2 linked regions of the Ovis aries genome follow. The protein of the gene in region 2 binds, or shares a complex with, the protein of the main gene of each other region. Links are inferred from orthologs where the notes say so. Each region holds a gene or a part of one and is shown on either strand. Other genes may lie near its edges.

What was found.
Region 1: the proteins of RBSN (region 2) and RAB4A are in contact, whole or in part, in a crystal structure (PDB 1Z0K), measured with the Homo sapiens proteins. The link is inferred for Ovis aries from reciprocal best matches to the Homo sapiens genes RBSN and RAB4A. Residues at the interface, in NP_001289307.1 of Homo sapiens: Glu441, Gly442, Trp443, Leu444, Pro445, Ser447, Glu454, Pro458, Leu459, Gln461, Gln462, Asn465, Ile466, Phe469, Asp480, Glu481, Thr484, Leu485, Asn488, Leu492, Glu495, Gln499; in NP_004569.2 of Homo sapiens: Tyr10, Leu30, His31, Ile34, Glu35, Ile46, Gly47, Val48, Glu49, Phe50, Gly51, Ser52, Lys53, Lys63, Gln65, Trp67, Arg74, Phe75, Ser77, Val78, Ser81, Tyr82.

What each region holds. Positions count from the first base shown.
Region 1 is NC_056078.1:777,141-781,435, reverse strand, and holds the start of RAB4A (ras-related protein Rab-4A), read right to left. Parts: upstream 3,096-4,295; coding exon 3,065-3,095; intron 1-3,064. UniProt on the Homo sapiens protein: The small GTPases Rab are key regulators of intracellular membrane trafficking, from the formation of transport vesicles to their fusion with membranes.
Region 2 is NC_056072.1:57,112,413-57,116,214, forward strand, and holds part of RBSN (rabenosyn-5), read left to right. Parts: intron 1-53; coding exon 54-215; intron 216-1,491; coding exon 1,492-1,733; intron 1,734-2,978; coding exon 2,979-3,049; intron 3,050-3,802. UniProt on the Homo sapiens protein: Rab4/Rab5 effector protein acting in early endocytic membrane fusion and membrane trafficking of recycling endosomes. Required for endosome fusion either homotypically or with clathrin coated vesicles.

The sequences.
Region 1 (4,295 bases), on a different chromosome or scaffold from region 2:
CGTGAGTCCACATCCAAATTCCTCTCATCTTACAAGAACTCCAATGCATGAGAGCTCACCCTAACCCGACATGACCTCATCTGAACCTAATTACACCTGTAAAGACCCTGTTTCCAAACAAGGTCACAGTCACAGGGTGCCTGCGCTTAGGACCTGAACATACCTTTTGGGGGATACAATTCAACCCACAGCAGCATACAATCACACATTTTAAAAAGAAAATATCCTGATAATTCTCAAAATTATATGGTAAATACTGTAATATTTTCGAACTAAAGCACAAAATAAAAATATTAAGAGTCCATTGTAATAAAGCTAGTACAGGACCAACAATTTGTGTTCTTGCTTCATAAATTGTCATGGTAGAATGCATAAATTACAGTGTGTATAGAGATTTGGCTTAGATTTTTTTCCTCATTCTCAAACTGCCCCAGCCCTTAAATCTTTTTTTTTTTTTTTAATTTCTAGCATCTTCTATACCACTTATACTTTTTAGCTCCTTTCTGAACATCACTGCTTGATATTAATATTTGATTTGTGAGTTTTTGTCTCACAAATCTTGGTATCAGAAATCACCTAAAGCCAATCTGTGATCAGCCAATCGATCTCCTTGGGAAGTCCCAAGCCACATCAACTGGCCAGGCCTTTAAGAATGCTGTGAATTTAACGGTATTTGTGAAGCACTGTTTAGGGATAATCAGCCGGAGCTTTCAGTCAGAAACCGGTATGTTTGAGATTTCAATGTTGTATTGCAATATTACATAAAGTATTACATAAGGTATGGTATTCATGTGGTTGGTGTTTCTGGAGCAGCAAAATGTTGAACACCAGTCACTGGAAGGTGAAACACTGCCTTAAGAAGCTAAAAGGCATGCGGACACAGCTCATGAACGTGTACTCATTAACAGTATACTGGTAAGCAATAGTTCTTCGTTTTTCATCATATCCCTGGCCAACTACAGAGATTCCTTTTCCAGAAGAGAGAAAGTGAGCACAGAGTACTAAGGAGTTTAAAGATTAGGAAAACATTCCTTTACCATCTACCTAACAGGCAAACGTCTGAAAGGAGGGAAACTGTTTTCCATCTGGGAAACAATGCTATGCAAATCTACCAATGATAAGTGAAGGTGATTGCTTGGTTTGGGGTGACTTTTATTTTGGGTTAGCACTGTGAAGTGCCACACTGCTCTTGCTAAAACTAAATTTCTATGTGTTTCACTTAATTTCTTCTATTAGAGGGAAGGACTACAATTAGTAAAAACTAAAAACATATTTGGAAGCCACCATGAAAGAAGAGGAATAAAGGTCAAAGCCTGATGAACAGAATTTGATCAGTTGACCTGTGATGCTCGATGAGCTCTGTCTGAAATGGAGACACCATCTTTTATCAAGGTTATCATTTCATACAAAATATGGTGTCTCCACTTCAGAGGAAATGGCAATCCACTCCAAAATTCTTGCCTCAAGAATCCCATGGACAGAGGAGCCTGGCAGGCTACAGTCCATTGGGTCACAAAGAGTCAGACACGACTGAAGCAATTTAGCATGCATGTTTCACATGAGACAGATGAAACATAAAAGCTCCATCTTTCAGTCCTCCTCCTAACTCGTAACCCCACTTGGTTTCTTACTTGGACTTTCCACTGCTCCCATGTGCTCCTTCTCCAGGTCAGAGAGGGAAAAAAAAGCGTGGGGAAAGGAGCACTTGAAAAATAAAGAAAAAGCAAAAGCATAACCAACACTTGCTGGAGAAATGGATTTTTTTTTTTTTTTTTTAGGAAATCTGACTATGGTTCTCTATAGAGAGGCAGACCACGTGGATGTGGCAAGTACAGTAACATTAGAAGCTCTGACAACACTGATCCTTACAAGCCAGGGGTGTGGTTTCCGACTCCCTAAACCTTCTAGGAATAGCTGTCTTGCTCCCAGTGTTACCAAGAACAAGGCAGGTACCAGGCACAGGAGTGGCTGAAGGTGGAGCAAATGCCTGGGTGCTTGAGGGGCCTCAGCCACAGTCCTCTTACAGGCATCCTGGATCCCTCAGGGCCTGGGCACTTGTAGACCAGTTAATGCCTCCGTGCCTCAGGTCTGAGTCACATTTCTTTTTAACATACCTTCAGAGACCATATTCCTTCAGAACTCCAGCCTGGGTTTTTTTTTTTTTTAATATTCACTAGTATCATAAGTGGATTAACACTGTATCCCCCAATGGACTAGCTTGCCAAGACCAGAACAGTGCAGGAGGGTACCTTGCACTGTTGGAAACCACACCAGCCCGTAAAGCCGGTCCACACCTATCTGCTGACAGAAAGGGGCAGCACGCCAGGGCACACGGAAGAAGACATGACGAATTTGACTAGAGGTAATGTTTTTGAACTCGAGCCCCTCCCTGGGGCTGTAAAATCAAAATCAGACTTAATCTGAGAATGCCCAATCTCAGAGTGACTCCAGACTGGTAAACACTAGTAAACCTTGATACAAAGCAGAGATGTACTCTATTGTTTATTTTTACCACGCAGGACAAAAACACACAGATTATGAATTGGGAAGGCTTTCGTTTATTTAAAAAAAAAAATGTCTGCTGGCTGCCTTCGGGTGTGAGTGCTACAGAAGAAGCAAAGATCAAGCAGAACAGGCTCTGCTTCCGAGGTGTTTATAGTCTTGCAAAGATACATTTATAAACAGCCACCATACAGCTTGAAAGGTCTCGGAAGGAAGAAATGCCTGTCCATAAGTCCTTGTAATTTGCGTGCAAAGGAAGGAATTTCAAGCAAGGAAAGGTCAAAGTGGAAGAGTCGAAGAACACACTCAACTGCAGGCGTCGTCCCAAGTCCTTCACATCCCTCGCTGGGGACAGCATCGCAGTCTCTAATGGGCTTCCCTAAACCCTGAACTAACATCAGACCAAGAAACGGAAACCCTACCGGCAAGTACGCGGAGAAGCAGCAGGCAGACCCTCGGAGAAGCAGATCACATAGCCGGGCTACCCTCGGGCGGCCGCGCCCCAGCACTGGGATCCCGGTCCCCACGCCCCCGGCCCCGGCCCGCGCCCCCCGCCCCGTACCGTAGGTCTCGGACATGGCCGTCTGCGACATCTTGGGAGCGGCTCCGCCTCTCGCGGGGCGCCGCTGCGGCTCCGCCGGGCCGGCGGCAGGGAGGCCGGGGAGTCGGCCGCGCCTCGGTGGGGAACGCGAGGGGCAGCGAAGCGGAGGAGGGAGGGGCCCGCGGTCCCCGCGGCAACTGCCGGCCCCCAGCTGCTGCGGCCCCGCCGGACTGCGGGCTCCGCGCAGGCGCACGGCCCCGCCCCGCTGTCCGGGCGCGGAGGGGAGGGGAGGGGAGGGGCGGCCGGGAGGGGAGGGGAGGGGCGGTGGGGAGGGGAGGGGAGGGGCGGCCGGGAGGGGAGGGGAGGGGAGGGGCGGCGGGGAGGGGAGGGGAGGGGCGGCCGGGAGGGGAGGGGAGGGAGGGGCGGCCGGGAGGGGAGGGGAGGGGAGAGGCGGCCGGGAGGGGAGGGGAGGGGCGGCGGGGAGGGGAGGGGCGGGGCGTCGGGGAGGGGAGGGGCGGGGACCCGGCGCTCGCTGGGGGCGCGCGGGGAGGGAAGGGGAGGGGAGGGGCGGCGGGGAGGGGAGGGGCGGGGCGTCGGGGAGGGGAGGGGAGGGGCGGCGGGGAGGGGAGGGGAGGGGCGGGGCGGCCGGGAGGGGAGGGGCGGGGCGGCGGGGAGGGGAGGGGCGGAGACCCGGCGCTCGCTGGGGGGCGCGCGCGGGCCGGCTGGGGCGGGGCCGGCCGTGGGGCGCAGCGGAGCCGGGGCGGGGCGCAGCGGAGCCGGGGCGGGGCGCAGCGGAGCCGGGGCGGGGCGCAGCGGAGCCGGGGCGGGGCGCAGCGGAGCCGGGGCGGGGCGCAGCGGAGCCGGGGCGGGGCGCAGCGGAGCCGGGGCGGGGCGCAGCGGAGCCGGGGCGGGGCGCGCGGGGGCGGGCGGCCCCTGCGGTGGCTGCAGGGGTGGGGAGCCGTCGGCGGCCCGCAGGCCCGGAGGTGACCGGGAGGGGCTGGGGGTGTCCGGGGCTGAGCATCACGGTCCGCTCCCGCACAGAGGAGGCTGAGTGCCCGCCTCGGAGAGGCAGGCCGCCCTTTGCCAGGTGGGCCGCCTCCGCAAAGACGTGGCCGTCGTCATCTGGGGCACTCGGCCAACGAAGGACTTCCTCTGAGCTGCAATGATCAACCCGGGTCGGGGTGAATGTGTAACTAGGCGGCGGCGGCCGCAGGTGTCCAGCGGGAGGCCAGCGCTGCCGGCTGGGAGGCAG
Region 2 (3,802 bases):
TTAAAATGGCCTCCTTTTGTGTGTGCTCGGTTTCTGTCTCATTCTTCCCACAGCAATAGAAAAGTCCGTGGTGCCTTGGGTCAACGACCAGGACGTCCCTTTCTGTCCGGACTGCGGGAATAAGTTCAGCATCCGCAGCCGCCGCCACCACTGCCGCCTCTGCGGGTCTATCATGTGCAAGAAGTGCATGGAGCTCATCAGCCTTCCCTTGGCGAGTAGGTGACGTGGGGGCAGCCTGGACCCTCACCTCCTGTAGAGACCAGCCCCCACTGGGGGGCTGGGGGTGCTTTTTGTTTCGGTATTTGGTCCATGGGACCTTCCATTTACTGTTGATTCCTTGAGGCCCACTACAGCCTTGGCCCTGTGCTAGGGCCCAGGGGAGCAATGGTCTGTAGTAGAGGTTGGCCAGCTTTTCCCATAAGAGACCAGATAGTGAGTACTTTAGGCTTTGTGGCCCACATCCTGTCTCTGTGACATTTCTTCTTTATTACACAGCCTTTTTGAAGTGTGAAAACCATAGGTAGCTTGAGGGCCACATACGAAGCCAGGCAGACTTGGCTCGCCGGTCGTTGTTTGCCCACATGTGGTCTATCAGCATCGTCCATTCCTCCAGGGTAGGAGGAACCCAGTGGCCCAGGACTTTGAATCTCAGCTGGTGAAAAGTTGCTGGAGATGATCTCAAGGCATTCTGGCTGACTCTGGGATGTGTGGGGGTTTTGCAACCCTGCAGAGTTCCGGTGATGCATGTGCTGTTGGCTGCAGGGCATCTGGGTAATGTGGGAAGGGGCAGATGTTTCCTGGGTGGGGCTCTGGTGTCCAGTGGGCACGTGTCACCTTGGTAAGTTCCCTTTCACCCCAAGACGACTCCCTGTCTTAGCTGAGCTATGTTCTGGGGACACGCTTCATCTTCCTTCTCTTGGGCTGATTAACTGATATTTACTGGGCAGCTGCTGTGCGGTAGCCCTACTGGAACAAACCCATAGGGATGCAAAGATGAATGAGACAGTCTGTGCCCTCGGAATCACAACTGCTTGGGCAGCTCTGGGCTGTGCATAGAGCTGTCATCACACGGAACAAGTGGGAAGTGCCCCAGGAGGAGTGACATGGTGGGAACTGATAGGTGGGCAAATGGTTTTTACCTCAAGGAATTGAGGAAGGCTTCCTGGAGGATGTGCCATTTGAGCTGAGATTTGGCAGGGGTAGCAGTGGGGTTTGGGCATGGGGGAAGGCTGCGGGGGCGGTCCCAGGGAGAGCCTGGGTGTGTCCGGGCAGCTGGAGCAGGGCAGGAGGTGGTAAGGCCAGATTGGGGTGAGCCTCAGAGCTTCAAGGACAGACTGTCCTTGGCTCCTGGCTGTCTCCTGGAGGCACTGGGCGTCCAGCCCACCGCAGAGCCTGAGTCCTGGCAGGCAGAGGTGTGGGTGCCTCTTGCCCGGGGCAGCGTCTGCACCCCGCCTGTGGAGTTCACCACTGCCCATCCTGTGTTCTTTACAGACAAGCTCACCAGTGCCAGCAAGGACTCCCTGAGCGCTCACACCAGCCCCAGCCAGTCACCCAACAGCGTCCACGGCTCCCGCCGGGGCAGCATCAGCAGTGTGAGCAGCGTGAGCTCCGTCCTGGATGAGAAGGACGATGACCGGATCCGCTGCTGCACACACTGCAAGGACACGCTCCTCAAGAGGGAGCAGCAGATCGACGAGAAGCAGCGCACGCCCGACGTCGTGAGGCTCTACGAGGTGATTCCGGGCCGGCTTGAGTCCAGTTCCAGAGGCCGGGCTCTTCGTTATGTGCACGCCCGTGGATTTTGAAAAATGCTTTGGGAAATCGTTCCTTTCAGTTACTTTTAGTTTCTGCCAGAGGGCACTAGCTGGGGCCCTGCGTGAGTCGCAGAGTCACTGGGTGTGTTGCAACAAACTTGCTTCCTTGCCCTTCCCTGCCCACCTGAGAGTTGGAGGTTGGCGCTTTCGGTGGCCCAGGGGCAAGAGGAGGAAGGCTGGTTGCCATGCGGTATGGACAGGTTCTGTGGGTCAGAGCGGGAGCAGGAGCTGGTGGTGAATAGTGGACCAGAAGGGTCCTGGGACACTCACGTGGGAGTTTGAGAAACTTCCCAGAAGCACAGAGCTTCCTCTTTTGAGTCCCTTCAAATGCCTCAGCTCCGGTTACCACCAGCAACCCTGCAGTGCCTTGAGGAGCTGCTGCGTTACAGGAGCAGAGTGTAGCCAGAGCCTGCGGTTCAGAGTCAGACTGGGCATGAGCTTGACTCTGCCTCCTAACTGGGATGAGGCCTGCAGGCTGAGAAGGATGAGCCAGGAGGGTGTTGGGCAGGGAGGTGATAGGAAATGGGGAGGAGCGGAAGGAAGCAGTTGGTGCAAAACCGGACAGGGGAGAAGAGAGTTTTTGTCTGGTCATCACTGAATGGTCACTATTAGCAGCTCTGTGGGCCCCAGTGGTTGTGTTTCTGGAACCACAGTGAAAATAGTCAGACTACTAGAAATGGTGTTAATTAAAACCTTGCTGAGCTGCAGACGTAGCTGTTGTCCATTGTTATGTGGAGCTCACGATCTGATAATTTCTGTAAACAGCCGCTAAGCTTTTGGTTTCCTTCTTTTTTGAAGTGAGCCCTGGCAATGCCTTGTGTGGTGTCTAACGTCACCTGGCAGATAAAGGCCATAGCAACTGATTTCTTTTGCTACCTTGGTGAGCTCACATGACGTGTGTCCTGGAGGGCCTTGGTCCTCTCAAAAACATCTGGCCAAAGTTCACCCTTCTTTCCTTCCTACAAGATTTCCTTGTAGAGTAGGTCTATAAACCAGGAAATTGATAACAATGAACAGGACAAAACTAAAAGCCACTCTCTGCATTTTTTTTTTTAAATTTAGAAAACTGCACATTTTATATACATCTCCATTGATTCCGCATAACCTTTTTGTTGCCTTTTCTGTATCTTGAGACACAACTCACCTCTTCTTTTTTGTTCTTAGAAATTACGGCTTTGCATGGAGAAAGTTGACCAAAAAGCTCCTGAATACATCAAGATGGCAGCATCGTTAAAGTAAGCTCTTCCTCTCTGTTTTACTGACTCAGTGGTGACTGTTTTCTGGCATTCTGGTCAATTCTTTAGTAGCTGAAGATGTAGGCCCTGCCCTTTTCCCTTCAGTCCTTGCAGCGAGACGCTGCAGCCCCTTGCAGCAGACAGTGGAAGCGCGGGGAGCCCTGTTTCTTGAGTCCTCTCAGCCCCACTGTCCCCGACTACCCCCATATACCTGCGCCTCCTGCGTCCCAGCCCTCCTGTCTCCACTCCTTGCTCGAGACCACTGGCTCTGAAGGAGAGCAGGAAAAGCCCAGTCCCTTCTCCGCCTGCAGTTCACTGAGTGGTCACTTCACTCAGCGGGTCCCACTGCCCTCCTGGGAGCAGCTGGGAAGAAGCGTAAACCTCCCCGGAACGGAGAGTCCTTGACTGGGAGCGTCTGCCGCGTGCTCCTTTCCTCCCTGGAACTCACTGGAGGCCACGTGCCCTCCTCCCTCCCCTGCCCGTGGGTTTAAAATTAGAGGAGGCCTTCCTTCTACCTGGACGCCAGCAACATCAGCTGGTGTTCCTGGCAGTGAGCTGGCATCCAGCCCTTTCCTCAGGACATTGTCACCCTAGGGCCTCCTCTCCCAGAGTCCCGTTGGGTTTTTGCTCTGTGCCTTAGACACCATTGTGGGTCCGTGGGCTCTCCGCTAGCCAGAGGGGAGCTACCACTGCTGAGCGCATTTCCAGGCGTGTTAACTCTTCCTCCAGAGACCAGTTCTGAGGGGCTTCAGC